Linked DNA regions of Arabidopsis thaliana. The protein of the gene in region 2 interacts with the protein of the main gene of each other region in a pairwise test. Each region holds a gene or a part of one and is shown on either strand. Other genes may lie near its edges. The genes, in order: HDG1 and AT2G41760.

The links.
Region 1: the proteins of AT2G41760 (region 2) and HDG1 interact in a two-hybrid assay, tested with the Arabidopsis thaliana proteins (one large-scale study listed by BioGRID).

Annotation. Positions count from the first base shown.
Region 1 is NC_003074.8:22,628,410-22,637,355, reverse strand, and holds HDG1 (homeodomain GLABROUS 1), read right to left. Parts: upstream 7,026-8,946; 5' UTR 6,588-7,025; coding exon 6,417-6,587; intron 6,339-6,416; coding exon 6,130-6,338; intron 6,047-6,129; coding exon 5,929-6,046; intron 5,859-5,928; coding exon 5,172-5,858; intron 5,078-5,171; coding exon 4,979-5,077; intron 4,888-4,978; coding exon 4,687-4,887; intron 4,285-4,686; coding exon 4,107-4,284; intron 3,883-4,106; coding exon 3,515-3,882; intron 2,877-3,514; coding exon 2,481-2,876; 3' UTR 2,201-2,480; downstream 1-2,200. Other genes in the region: AT3G61160 (Protein kinase superfamily protein), read right to left, coding at 1-35, 120-392, 475-534, 635-727, 820-978, 1,085-1,147; FUS6 (COP9 signalosome complex subunit 1), read right to left, coding at 8,461-8,637, 8,729-8,946. UniProt on the Arabidopsis thaliana protein: Probable transcription factor. Promotes cuticle development probably by modulating the expression of the downstream genes BDG and FDH, possibly repressed in a CFL1-dependent manner.
Region 2 is NC_003071.7:17,419,018-17,425,499, reverse strand, and holds AT2G41760 (amino-terminal glutamine amidohydrolase), read right to left. Parts: upstream 3,812-6,482; 5' UTR 3,755-3,811; coding exon of another isoform or gene 2,960-3,754; 5' UTR 2,637-2,959; coding exon 2,569-2,636; intron 2,385-2,568; coding exon 2,279-2,384; intron 2,141-2,278; coding exon 2,063-2,140; intron 1,978-2,062; coding exon 1,847-1,977; intron 1,600-1,846; coding exon 1,475-1,599; intron 1,403-1,474; coding exon 1,245-1,402; 3' UTR 1,129-1,244; downstream 1-1,128. Other genes in the region: AT2G41770 (transmembrane protein, putative (DUF288)), read left to right, coding at 1-169, 250-376, 475-951; AT2G41750 (DTW domain-containing protein), read left to right, coding at 2,960-3,754. UniProt on the Arabidopsis thaliana protein: Mediates the side-chain deamidation of N-terminal glutamine residues to glutamate, an important step in N-end rule pathway of protein degradation.

The DNA.
Region 1 (8,946 bases), on a different chromosome or scaffold from region 2:
ACCACTTGATGCAGATAATTCATAGCACGGCAAATCTGGTTTCAACAAACAAATGTTTCTCAGAACCCCAAAAGTCAAAAATAGAGCTGAATGCAGAAAAGAGTACACGGTCTTAATACCTGATAGGTGTAGAGCTGAATATAAATCAAAGGCATATGCTGATTCATCTTGGTGTAAGATCTGGAAGCGCGGTAAATAGTCTCGGGTACATACTCAAGAACAAGGTTAAGATAAAGCTCGTCTTTCTCAGTCGTGGAAAAGAAAGAATGCTTGAGCTCAACGACATTAGGATGATCAAGCATTCGCATGATCTGAAGTTCTCTGTTTTTGTATCTCTTGTCCTGTAACACTTTCTTTATTGCTACTTTTTCTTCCGTCTCTAAGCACTTAGCCTACATCAAAACCAGGAATCAACTTCAAAATCAAATTTTTAAAACAACTAAATAAAATATCTCGAGTCTAAATTTTATTTACCTGAAAGACAACACCGAATGAGCCAGTGCCAATTACATGTTCAGCTCTGTAAGAGATTGTCTGCATAATAACAAACAATATATAAAAAAACAGATTTTCATGGAGAACAATTTTAGAAATGTGTCATTACAAAGAACACAAGCCAAAACTGAAAAGTCACCTTGTCTTTTTGATCATTCAAACCCTTCTTTTTGGTGGTAATAATCCGTCCAGATTCTGTTCCATTTCCCTTGATGATTCCACAGTCCATATCCTATCAAATCCATTTGAACCATTAGCTCAAAGATCAGAGAAACAAAGCAAATCAGAAACTCAAAAGGCTAAAAAAATCTCAAAAATGGAAACCTTGTCATCTCCAAGTCCCACCTCACGGATTTCCTTTGGTAAATGATCAGAGTTCTCTGAGGAAGAGACAGAATCTTTCTCGTACGACGTAGTTTCCGTAGACTCTGTTTCTTCACGATTCTGGTTAGGCTTTGATCTCGGCGTCTCAGTTTCTCCTACCTACGCAAGTTACAAAAACAAAAGAGTCCAACTTTAAACAATCCCCAAATCAAGAAAATAAATACAAACAAACAAAAAAAACTCAAAAAGTTTCAATATTCTTTACGTTATCAGAAGAAACGAAATTACGTCCAGAGGCAATACTCGTTAATCTCCGCACCACATTCATCGTTTTTTTCTTCTTAAAAAAGCAGAAAACAATTCCAAGGAAACAGAGGAATTAACAAAAAAAAAAGTGGTTTCAAGAACACCAAAAGATTACACGAGAAGAGAAAGAGAGAAAGAGAGAGAATCGCTTAGCTGCCAATTCGTCTCTCCTTCTTCTCTCTTCTACCAGAAAAACGAAACAAAGATAACAAAAAAAAAATGATCTAAGGATTTTTCTTCCTTAATCAAAACTCTCTGTGTATATATACAAAAACATATTTATAGAAATATCTATATATATCTCTGCGGCGGAGCGGATATAGCTTAAACTAAAAAAGAACAGATGGCATTTCTCGCCATTGGTCTATTACACAATTCCAAGACCAATCAATCATTCTCATACCCTTAATTTCTGTTCAGAGATCATCACCCCACAAGAAAAAAATGGAATTAAATAATCTGTATTAGATACGATCGTGACCGTTTGTTCATTCAACGGTGGCGATCGAACGTTAAGCGCGCGGATTATTCGGAAGTTTGACTCTTCCTTTTGACTCTTTTCTTTCGGCCCGTTTGTAATAATAATATTATTGTCGTTTGTAATAATAGTATATACTCCAATGGACTTAAAATCTAGCCCAATAAATTAGTTAATGATTGGCCCAATACACTTTGAGAAGACTTACTTGGTAGCCATAATAGAGTAGTTAATGACAGGCTTTAGATAAAAGCCCATTAGTAGCCTGTGGTCTCTTCTGATGTGACCTTTGGATCTAGGCTAGCATTATCAAACAATCTCTAAACCAACCTAATCAATTAGCCTTTCGTTGTAGTTGTCTACATTGCATGGATATAATAACTATAAGGGATTGCAACTAAATTCATGCACTCACGTGTTTCACTCTTCTTCGTTCGTTCCTTTTCCATCTTATTGAGAAAAGTACTGTAAACTTGGAACAACATTAAATAAAGGACACGGTCCAAACCAATCCTTTCACATTATAAACTACCACAAAAGTAAACACGGATTGTGCTTCTGGTTGCCTTGATTTATAACCAAAAAAATGATAATACGTTTTTGCTTATAACTAATTATTTGAGCTCCCCTAAAAAAAACTTGTGTGTTTCATATAATGCTGTCCCGATATTATCGAGTCATTACAAGAAGAGAAACAAGAAACAATTACATTTCATCGACATGATCCAAAATAAAACCGATCCAAATTACAACATTCTTTGTTTTTTTTTTTTTTTTAAATTTCATCGAGTCAATACCCGAACCATCACAAAAACGGATTCATCACAAAATGAGGTTCGTTCTTGACTCAATCTCCTCCATCGTCTGATCTCGATGATCAGGTGCTATCACAATGAAGAGCAGCTTTAATCTTCTGAACGGTGCACGATATCAAATTATTAACCGTCTCCACAGATTCCACCGTTAGCTTAGCCGTAGGCAAACTATTCACCAGTATCTGAAACGCCACCGTTAGTAACGACCCTCCTTCCTCCATGCACCCACCGTTACCAATACTGTTACGTTCCTCTGCGGCGCAGCGTTGCGTACCAGCCTGACCGTTAGGGAGAATGGCGAATCCTGAAGGAAGGAGTGCCACGTAAGCAGAATCTCCACCGTTCATCACAGCTTGCATTGCTGGGATATCAACAGGCGCGTACACGACAACCGCTCCTGCAGCGTCTATGCTTGTCTCTTGTAATATCAGCATACTACTCTGATTCGCATTTATCGCCTGCATGAAAAAATCAAAACAAAATTAAATAAATGGAAACTTTGGTGGTAGAAGAGAAAATTATAAATCCCAAAAGGGGAAACAATAAATTAAAAGATGATGAACGAGGAGACTTTTACAGTGTCACCGTCACAAGCCAGAAAAAGCTCAAGGGGTACAACGGAGAAAAGACACCAATAATGCAGAAATAAAGAGAGAAAAAAACAGAGGATTTTTCAAAACGTCGGAGCCAAAAAGGAAAGAAAAAGGTCAAAAATGTCTTATTACTATTGACTTTTATCACACAATACTTCCAAATTCTAGATTTGTCACTTTCCAATCACACGCGACAAGATTCATATGACAACACCATCCTGGGGTCACACAACACAACAAAGTCCTTTCATACACTGTTTATAGATCAAATATTCAATGTCCACACAAGTCGGTTTAACTTTAATTTATCTAAAACCAACCCAAAAAAATCAGAAAAAGTTGAAAACCGTAAACAAAAAACTAAACCGACTAAAATTTCAAGTTTTCCAAAACCATCTAATGTTTATAAAATACTAAATTCACCAAAACCTAAACTAAAATTTGGAGATTAGCTTAGCTACTTACGCATGCAAATAGAAAGTGTAATAAATATGAATGCTTACGCTGGCACGGAGGAGGGAGACGGAGTTGGAACGGTCATGGCCTTTAGCTATATGGGCCATCTCTTTCATTGGTCCACCGTTGGATAAGATATCCCATTCCGATCTAAGCCGTTCGTTTCCAAGGAAGTCAAACAACCGCCTCGGAGATACCGGCATCCAAACTGACGTCGCCGCATTTAGAATTATCCCAGGCGGCTCGCCAGGATTGTTTACACTCTTCCTAGTCATTATCCTAACGTCTTCGTCGACGTTGCCAACGTTGAGTTTGCTCCATTTCTGTAACGACGAAGCACAAACCCCTCCACAGAAATTATCAGTCATCCTCTTCGCTAGCTTTAGCATGCTTTTTCTCCCATTGCAGTTTATAGCTGTGCCCATTAATATAACCAAAAAAAGATTAATTAAACTATATAGTTTGATAATTACAGAATCAACAGCTATCATCTTTTTCTTTGTGACTCAGTCAACAGTTCATACTATTTATTAAATCTTATTTATTCTGGTAGGATAAGATATGAATCACGTCAACAACAACAAACAAATATATATTTCTACAAAATAAATCAGAAACGCAGCGTTTGAGGGAGCTTACGGGATGGATTAGTGGAAGTGGAAACAGTGGAGGACATGAGAATCGTGAGGCATTCGCATTGACGTTGTAATGCAGCCATCCATCGATGCGCACCAAACGCTAGACCGCACCTGAGTAATGGGCGGTATAAACGGTGGATGTGGTTTTCGTCATACTCCGTGTGCTCGATCCATGTTACCTGCAAATTTCTTAAACTATTTTGCGTTAGGTTTATCACAATCGTTTTTTTAGGTCTAATGTCAGCTTTAACACATAATTAATGATAATCAAAGAGAAAAACTTCTATGAACGTGTAATGATAAAAATTAATGCACGATCCAAGGGCACAGAACTCGGAGATATTTAGATGCTTCTGATCAATAAAATAATCCTACTCCAATGCATAAGTTAATTTAAAGTTATAAACCCAATGCATAAGAAACCTTTATCATAATTTCTCGGACAAAAACAAAGAGCTTGCCTGTGGTTCCTAGAGAAATGTGAACCAACCAACACTAGGGTAACTCCTAAAGGTGAAAAGTTAAAACTATACAGTATACTACTATTACAAATAATCATCACCCAGAAAGAATAATTTTACCTTTGAGTAGCCATTGGCCATGTCTTGTACGAGGCAACCGGATGGTAATCTTCTACAGCTCGAAGAAGAACCTTCTCTAATGGAATCAATTGAGACATCCACGACTGCCCAAACACCTTCCGCGTGCTGTTTACAGAACCGCAAGAACGACACTTGTCTAACCGGCACGAGTGGAGACAGCAGTTGAAGCTCTGCGTGCATCTAATTAACCAAAAACAAAACATTAAAAGACCCATTTGTTGAATTAAGATTTTATATGTGTTAATTAAATGTTAAACGCATAATTACATACCAGGTGAAGTGCACCATTTCGCCCTCCCATGCCACTAGAGATAATCTCTGTGGTTGAAGTTCTTGAGACCATACTAGGAAACATTTCCGCCCACCGTTCCTATAAAAAACATTGTATCAAAAGATTAGTACTTTCTAGAACTTTTGCTGGATTAAGCTCATTACTAAAATTAAGTGTTTTAGTAACTACTCACCGAGTCCATTAAGGTTTCAACGAGCGCTAAGCTATTGATGATAACAGTTCCAGCTTCTTTAGAAGCTTCTGAGACAAACCCATCTTGTTTTGGTCCAACACACCGAGAGAAACTTGTGTCGTACTCTTCCTGGTTCAGCACTTCAAAACCAGAATCCGAGCTTCGAACCCAGAGCGGCTCACGTGTCTGAGCCATCTTCACAAGCTCATCCATAGCCGCAAGAGCTAAATCCAAATACCTCGATCTCTGATCAAAATCACTAACACTAACCGGTTGTTGACGGTTAACCGTAGCCACCAAACCAGAACCGGTTCCATTAGAAATCTCAAATCTAGGAGAAGCTTGAGGCAACAGCGGAGAAGAGAGAGTGAAACCACCACCAACATTACATCCACCAGAACCAACACCAACGCCGAGAACAAGTGCTGAGTCCGGTATATGATGTGAACCATTAGACCGGCCAAGAAACTTACCGGTTAAGGCACAGACTCGGTCTAACTCATCTTTGAGACGAGAGTTTTCAATTCTCAGATGTTGCTCTTCCATTGAGATCTCACCGATAACGGCAGGTCCGCCGCAATTACCACACATAGGGTTTCTCATAGCTTCGCGTACAGACATATTCTCAGCTCGAAGCTTATCGTTCTCTTGCCTCAACAAAGCATTCTCATGTCGTTCGATTTGAGTCTGTAAAAACAAATCAAAAATCAAAACAAAGAAACCAGAAAACAAAGATTAGCGATTCGAAGCTAAAAACCTTCATCTGAGTACGACGATTCTGGAACCAGAACTTGACTTGACGAGGATCTAAGTTAAGTCGACGGCTAAGATCAAGACGTTGCTTCTCGTCTGGATGTGCACACTCTTTAAAAACCCTAAAAATGGAGGATTCATCAAAATCAAAAATCAAAACGATTCGTAGAAGTGTAAATGGAGATTTTGTGTATAGTGAGTTTACGATTCGAGGTCTTGAATTTGTTTAGGAGTGTGACGATGGTAACGTTTCTTCTTCTTTAAAGGTCTATCGGAGGTATCTAAATCGTCACCGGAGACAGCTTCAGCGTTATCACTTTCAGATCTGCTTTCTACATCTTCTCCTCTACTACTCTTACGACTTACGTTTGACTCCATAATCTCTCCGTTTCTACTCATTTCTCCATTTGTTTGCTGCCAAATTTACAGAGATTATCATAAGTAGTAGAAGAAGAAGAAATCGAAGATTAAAAGAGGAGATAGTGAGCTTACGAGTCCGAGAGAGAGGCCTGAAGAAGAGAAAGGAAGAGACTGAGAAGGAGCAATGGCGGCGCTTCCGAGCATGGTGTCTACGGCGGAGAAAGAGAAGTGGTTGTTGTACGGAGCATCAGAGAGTAGCTTTGAGGCTCCAGCACCGTCGTCGAGAAAACCGTTGAAATTCATGAGATTTTAATAAAGAGGGAAATATTTAATGAAGATAGAAGAAATCCGCCATGGATGAGAGAAAAGCCCTAAGCTTTGTCGCTTCGGTGCATGTCCATGAATAGAAGATAGAGATAGAGATAGAGAGAGAGAGAGAACAGTAAATGAAAAAGGTAAAGGACGATAGTAACGACGAAAAAGGAAGATATAAAAGGTTCTCTGATTTGTTTCGTGAAATTAATTTACTTCAAAAGAAAAAATAAAAGAGAGAGAAGAGAAAAGGATAAAAAGGGAAAAGAAGAAGATGTGGAGTCATGGAAAGCCTTACACAACCTTTGAAAAGTTGGGTTTGACTCTTTTGACGTTACTCAACTCTTTTTGCTATAAAAGTCCACTTCAAGTGGTGAATCAACGCTGTCTTTCTTTTAAAATTACTGTTCTACCCCCTTCTTCTTGTGCTACTTTTTATTTGTAAATCCCAATTTCATCATGGGATGTGAGATTCTTCGTTTGTTGAGCGTTTCATTTGTCAATTCATTTGTTGAGCGTTTCATTTGTTAATTCATGTATTTCGGACATGTTTATTCACGATGACTATTGTTTTTGCATCGTGAATCGTACCTAAAGAGTTATGTTTTATTTTCCATAGCGAACAAGAAGTTGTTTATATTTGTATTACTCACAGTTTAGAAAGATGGTTATTAGTCTCCAAAAATAACTAATGCAAAGATCACAAATAATGAGATCCGGTTTTTGATACACAACCTATCAATTATACAAATTACTTTCATCAATGCAACCCAAAATAAATGGAGTATTGGGGTGAGTAAATTTAGAGTTGGCCCATCTTCCAAATTTGGCGGATTCTTAACTTCATGGTTTGTGAGTTTTGAGTAAACATGGAGTTATTGCGATGCTACCTAAGACTCATTTAAAAGGCAATATCATTCAATAGTTGATTAATAATGGACTGTCCATCTTAGAATAAAACCTTTACTTACTCTAAATGTCATCGACTCATTGAAACACTTGGTTCTTACAAAAAAGTAATCTTGCCCAATTTCTCGTTTGGTTCGAATCTTGAAAAAACACCCTTGAATATTCCTGGCAAACACAAACATATAGAAATATATATATATAAGATACCTCAAACTACAAAGAGAACAACTTCAAAGAAATGCATAGAAAAGAACTACTTGCAATAGTAAAAATAATAGTACCAGATAATGTGAACTATCCCATTCAGTGATAAAAATTCTATAGAAGAAACTAATAATGATGAAACGTAGCTATCGAGTGATTAATATCAAAAGTTCTTTGACACAAGAAAATCAAAAGTTCACACTTAGTCTACATGATGCGTTTGCCGACATCAAATCTTGGTTTTGCAATTTTCGAGATTCTACTTATAAAAAAAAGACCTAACCGTTTTGATTATTATTTCTTGTAGATAAGAAAAAAAAAAGTCTTCAACTATAGAGTGACAACTGTGCACAAAGCCACAAACTATCATATAATATACGACGTTTAGTTGACAAAATGAAATGGATATTAGTTGGGAGATGAGATTTTTGATCCCACCACCCACATGCATACAAAGATCATAAATCATATCGGCCCATGAAACCAAGTGTGTGTACTTATGTCTGTACTCTTTGACCATTTCACTTTCAGTGTGATTCATGCGTCTATAGATTCACACTCGGGATTTCATTCAAAGTCCATAGATAATTCAAAGAATCTTAAACTAAAAGTTGACAAAACAAAGCGATAACTAGAGAACAGAGAAGGTCAGATAGAAAGCTAACCAGTAACTAAACCAAATTAAATTTTAACAGATATCTTATGATCTTGGAATAGGCCATTACCTCTCAGTTTAGCAAAGCAGATGTCATCAAAGTTTCCTTGCCGATCTGGCATGATACTCATGTTTCAGGAGGTTGGCTCTTAACAGCATCGCCCTGACATCTCTATCGAATTCGTTTCCCATCTGAAGTACCTTTTGGAAAGTTGCATTCCTCTGATCCGCGTGTCTTGCATAGAGGATTTTGTTGTGTGAATCAATCCTTGCCTGTCCGGGATGGAAAAAAGATTTTGCCTCTATTAAGGTTTTTAAAATGACAGTAACATAAAACAAAGTTATTTCGGGAAACACTACGGACCTGAATCTGGTTGTCTGTGATCAAGGCTTCAAGTTCTTTCTCTAGACCAGAGACGCTAGTCTTGAATGCATCGGCCATCCTGCTCAAATCAACAGAGACAAATGGCAATGTGTACTGGATCAGTGCCTTCTTCCTTATCTGATCATATAGTGTGTCAACGTGATCATGAAGATGGATGTCCAGCAGCAGATTCGATTTGAGACTTGCAAGATATTCCA
Region 2 (6,482 bases):
AGAATTTTGGGAATGTTGTGCTGGTTATGTTTTGTAACGGTCCCGTTGAACGTACCGCACTCGAGTGGAGGTTACTTTATGGCCGGATATTCAAAACTGTTGTGATACTTTCTTCTCAGAAGAACTCAGATCTCTATGTAGAAGAAGCCAAACTCGATCACATTTACAAGTATGAATATTCTCAAGATTACTATGTATATGTTGTTTAAAGTTCATGCTTCTAACGGTAAGTTTGTATGTATATTTCAGGCATCTACCAAAGATATTTGATCGATACAGCAGCGCAGAAGGATTTTTGTTTGTTGAAGATGATACAGTTCTCAATTACTGGAATCTACTTCAAGCTGACAAATCTAAGATTTGGACTACAGACAAGGTACAACATTTTCATCAATATTTTCAGCTTCTCTTTGTTCTACTATCTTGATATGTGTATCTGACAAGGAAACGTCTTGTTGTAAACTGGTGATTTAGGTATCAAAGTCTTGGACATCAGTGAAACCGACCGGGAACTCTGATTGGTTTTCTGTACAAGCAGAGTTAGTGAAGAAAACTGTAAGTACAATGCCAGCTCATTTCCAAGTTAACTACAAGGACGCCACCAAGAACAATCATGAGACCTTAACAGTATGCAGTTCAGAGGTATTCTATGTGCCTAAAAGACTGGTAACTGACTTTATCGATCTTGTTGATCTCGTGGGCGATATGGACTTGCATTACAAAGTGGCTGTGCCAATGTTCTTCTTGTCTATGGATTCGCCTCAGAATTTTGACCCGGTTCTCGGTTCAATGGTATATAAGAGGAAATCAGCTTCGTTTAACACTTCTTCGAGTCTGTATTCTGCTAAAGCACCTGCGGTTCACCCGTGGAGCATATCAAGCGAACAAGATTTCATCAAATTGGTTCAGCAAATGGCTGAGGGCGACCCGCTTCTGATGGAGTTGGTATGATGGACTCAGGGTATAGAGCTTGCAGTAATGCAATGATAGAAACAGAGTTATACAAAAATTGTGTTTTTGATTCTTTTCTTATTGGTTCCCTTTTCAGAATTTTTTTCTTCTGGGGGTTGTGAAGAAAGTCATGTAATGTTCCATTGTAACCATACGTTTTGTGAGTGTATGATATTTCCCCATCTAAAATCAGTCTCTGCTTCATCAATAAAGACAAAAAGACAACTGAAAACATGCCTGAATATACAAGTAATGACACAGTTTTGATCCCATAAGAAAAAGACATTGGAATGCTAAGGAAGCTTGGTGAAGAGATCCTGAAGCTGAGTGTGGCTCACCACAACACCAAGTTTCTGTGAAATTGCTGCTGTCACTGTTTCGGGATCCAAGCTTGACAATGTATCCGCACCGCTCATGGCAATGTACTCGCTCAAATTGTGCAAGATTCCATCTTCAGAAGTAAGACAAAAGCGAGCTGAGCAGATGAATATTGTTGATGAAAGGGTAAAAAGTAACATCTTACCTTGGGCAACAATGGGTTCATAGGGTGGAGGTTGAGCAGTCCAACTTCCATCAGGTTCTTTCATGTGTCTTCTATCGGAAGCGAAATGCTTAAAGAACAGAGGAGCATGAACAATGCGGAAGAACCTGATCTCAACAAAACAAAAAGAAAAAACCAACTACATTACAATTACATGATGCTGAATTTCCTATCCAAATCTATATTGCTCCTTATGCCTTTCATAAACTGTTTTGCGGATAAATATACGGTTCAGGAACACAAGAAGATAAAGAAGCCTATATAGTTTCTCGGTGATAGAAAAGTAAAGGCTACTGCTTTGGCACCCTGATATCTATTACTTGGTGGTACAGTGATGTGAAAGTTATAGATTACCTCTGGTACTCTGCGAAAAGCTGAAAAGATGGCTGGATAGTTTCAGTCACATATGAGGCTAAGGGTGAAGGGAAAGGCAAAGTCGAATCAAGATCCCACACCAAAGGCTCAGAATCACTTTCTTTCTTCCTCTAATCAATATTCATGCGAATACAAAACAAAAACCAAGTTTAATTCTAAAAACTGACATCACTGGTTTGGACATTATAGGTTTACCTGGACACAGATGACATGATAATCCCACAGTACAACCCCATCAGCTCTGGTACTAGCTTTCTGATGCCAAAGTGGAACCTACAAGAAAATCAAATCAGTACAATGGACATTGAAATATACACACTCTGATTACCAAACGACTTCGTAACGGTGATGTAATTCCAACATGAAACAAGACCAAAGATAAGAATTATTAATAAAGAGCAACAAGCTTGCCTGCTTCTTCTCATTGGAGATAAAAACAACAAACAAATCAGAACACGTTGCCTCCGCTACACCATTCTCGCACAACGTCTTGCAGAGCAGATACACATTCTCTTCGCTACAAGAAAAAGTCAACATCTTTATCTTAAGTACTCCTACCCATAAGTCAAAATAATCAACTACAACCCTCTAAAACGAGTAATCTGGATTCGGAAGTTACATAGAACATGTAGAAGAGACCGTTCTATAATTTGAAGAAACCTAAATCGATGAGAAATTTTGTTTTAAAAGAAGAAGAATACCAGTAGTAAGGAGTGTGCTGGAACCGAGTGGCATCCATAGCAATAGGCTCCGAGGTGACGCCGGACATTCTCTCTTAGGATTTGATCAGTACTCTTATCTAATTTTCCTACTTCCAGCAACGTTGATCATCTAATCGTCAAAACTAAAAAGTGGTCGTGTACAATTGGGTAAATGGTGACCGGAGAAGAGACAGAGAGTTAAATAAGTTAATGCCCAACGACGATGTATCGTGAACAGACCAAACGACGACGTAGTGAATACAATCGTAATCGTATTCGTATTCGTGAATGGGTCAAACGCCGTCGTTCAGAAACTTAGTTTAAACGATGCCGTGTTTCTAATAGACCAAAAACGACAGCGTATTATTTTATTTTTTCTAATTTCCCATTAATGTTGGAATGCTCGCGTGACAGAGCAGTGACGATGGAGGACGAGCAAGACGCGCATCATCGCCGGCAGATCTGCGACAACTGCGATCGCCCAAATGCGATTTGTCTCTGCCACGTCTTACCAGCGGATCTAATTCCGACGAATACAGAAATCATCATCCTCCACCATCCACACGAGTCACGCCACAAGCTCAACACCACTCCTCTCCTTACCAAATCCTTACTAAACGTCACCAGAATCCCCGCCCGCCGTCTCCTCCGCCGTCACATCTCCACCGCCGGAGGAACCGCACTCCCAGCACCGCCAACAATCTACCTCTTCCCTTCTTCTCCTTCCTCTCCCGCCGTCACTATATCCGAATTCAAATCCCTAAACCTCTTAAACCATCGTGAGATCTCAAATCCCCCGCCGCTGAGACTAATCGTATTCGACGCGACGTGGAAACACGCGAAGGAGATGGTCAAAGCTAGCGAGGTGGTGTTAAGAGAAGCAGGAGCGGTTAGAGTGTGTTTGGATACGGAAATAGACGCATCAGTGAGTGGAGGAACCATCTACGATTCAGAGCTTGTGCTAAGGAAGGAACCATTCGGAGGATGTGTAACTACGGCGGAGGCTGTGGCACGGTGCTTAGGAGCTATTGAACCTGACGGTGAAGAAATAGAGAGGAAGCTGATTAGTGTTTTGAAAGAGATGGTTAGATTTCAATCTAAGTACTTGAAGCCTATGAAACCAAGACCTAAGTTATTGAAGAAGAGATTTCAGAATCAGCAACCACTTGAACAAGAAGAAGAATGAGTTAAATCCTGAAGTTTAGCAAAAAAAAATTGCTCTATGACATTAGTCCATTGTATTAATTTGTTCTTCTATATCAATAATTAGTTAATTTACAAAATATCAAATAATTCTGTGATTTCTCAAATTTATTCACGTTTTCTTGCGAATTTGGAGTAGACAAATCAATCAATATATTTGTGTGTGTGGAACAGATAGATTATGATGAACTTTATGAACTAGAAAAGAAGAAATAATGGGACATGGGACCTTGTTCCACGTGAAGTGAGAAATAGAGGTGAGGGGGTCGTGGATTGTTTTGCGATCATATAACTAACTTTCGAGATTTATAAATGAAGGTGACACTTTTTTTAAAAAACTAGACACTCACTGAATCACATGATATGTTTTTAGGCCTTTTAGTACCGATGTTATAATATATAGATGCCTAATTCCTAAAGCACACAAGTTCAATCATTAAAACCGTTTCCTGTAAATTCATATTCCTTTTTACGGTCCATATTCGAATTGGAGATCAAAATAAGTCTGACTTACTATTTTGAATGAAGAAATGTATTGTTGGTTGCTAATCGATATCGTTGGTCGTTGTCCGAATAACTTCAAAACAAACATGATCTATGCTACGTAATACGTACGGCACAAATACTAATTTCAGAATTAGATAAATTCTGAATTGAAAGCTCGAAACTTGTTAGTCAAGAAAAAAGAGATGAAACTGCTAAGTTACGATTTCAACTTTAATTTGTTTAGGTTGAATCTTACTTAATTACATTAGTTTTGGCCCTGCTCAAAGAATAAACCGAGCCTGTTCATTCTATGCAATCGGAAATATCTGATCGAAACTCCTATCATCTCTTTATAGAGTTTACTTAAAAAATATATATATTTTTGATACCGATTATATATATATCAACCATACATAGTATATTTCTCGAAATTTTAAAACATATAATTTCTTTCATTTCATTCGGTGTGGACATTGCACTCTCTTTATTCATTTTTACGTTTTCCTTAATTTACGATGGAGTGACCTTCAATTATAATTTTTATTCATTTCTTGATGGTATAGTACAAGTTAATAACTTTTATCTGTTTTCGATATTTATTGTTTGTTTACGTGAAGTTGACCTGGCAACACACAAAATAAAACAATGATCGATTTATCAAGTATAGCAACTTTGTTTTGAACACCTTAAAAAAACATTCACTGATATATTGTGAAATAGGCTACGGGAGAGGGATTTGGATCCTAGTTAAGTGCATGGTAGTCGAAAGTCTGTTATGTACCATCGGTCATATAGAAGCTACACTTTGTACCCTTTTTTTTTGGGAGGTTTCAAGTCAAGTGTATCATATGCGAATGAGACTATCAAAAAGGAGAGATATAAATGGAAAACGGTACGGTGAACTTTTAAATGCATAATTATATTAGTCAAGTAGAGAAGTTTGTAAGAGTTTGAACAAACTCTAGTTGGCAAAGCATTGATGGAATGATGGTAGCTGATTCTGAAATTTCTTCTTCTATGTATTTACGAATACGATTATATACATGACATAACTTTTTTTTTTCCTTCTTTTTTTTTGAGTTGAAAACGAGAGTAGAGAAAAAAGGAGTATTATCCATCCATGACATCTGCCAAAAGCCTAAAAGTAGAAAAGAAGGCTGTTCTCTATTTATCTGGTTATTGTATTTCATTCATGATTGTTGTTTTTCATGTTAAAGAGTATATTATTACGAAGAAATACTATAGTGTATTCTTTTAATATACGAAAAGTGCATATCCTTCAAAAAGGAGTTGAATCGTGCAAATTCACATGCTAAAAAGGACATCGTGTCATGCTGAAATAGCGAATGATGAGACCAATCTCTCCAAATCAAATAATTTATTCCGAAATACTTTTCTTTTTTACAACATTCTATATGATATTAACTATGTATAATGAATTTGGATAGTTTTTTTTAATTTGTGTTAAAAGATCTTATACGGTCTATTCTACACCTACATAGGTTATATCCAAATCAAGTATGATTTCACCTATCTTTTCTTGCAAATATTTGCATCATTTTTTTGTTAATGTTTATATATAACTAGGTCTAGGTTGGTAGCTATTTATGGTACAACAAATCCAATAAATGTATGTAAGTATATATATATATATATATATATAAGTTTAGATGCAATATATATTTCAAGACAAAAATTAGCGACGTTTCCAATTGTATAATGATGACCTATTTTTTTCCATGTATATTATATTAAAATCCAAAATATTGGTAATATATTAATTAAAATAGCTAAAAATAGATAAATTTTTTTTTTTTATTGTTTGCGAAGGTCTTTAAAGGTCGGTACTACCGAAAATCCAATCCGTTGGATAATATTAAATTATATTCTCCATCTTATGGATGAAGAAGTATTGTTTCTGATCGATCTCTGGTTAACAAAGGATTTATTAAAAGAGTCGGTTTTGGGGCGTCCATTTCAGTTTAGGAGGATTCGTGGATTCCAACTCAATTCCCGAGACCAGCAAAAAGTAATGGCTCAGTTATTGATCCATGCCTAAAAGTTCAAAGTCTTATTGACACTCGAACAAATTTCTGGAAGATTGACTTATTAAATGAGCTTTTTGTCCCAGAAGATGTTTCACTAATAAGTGCTCTGCACTTGGGTGCGTCAACTACGGAGGATACTCTTGGTTGGCACTTTACAAAGTCCAGAAAATATTCAGT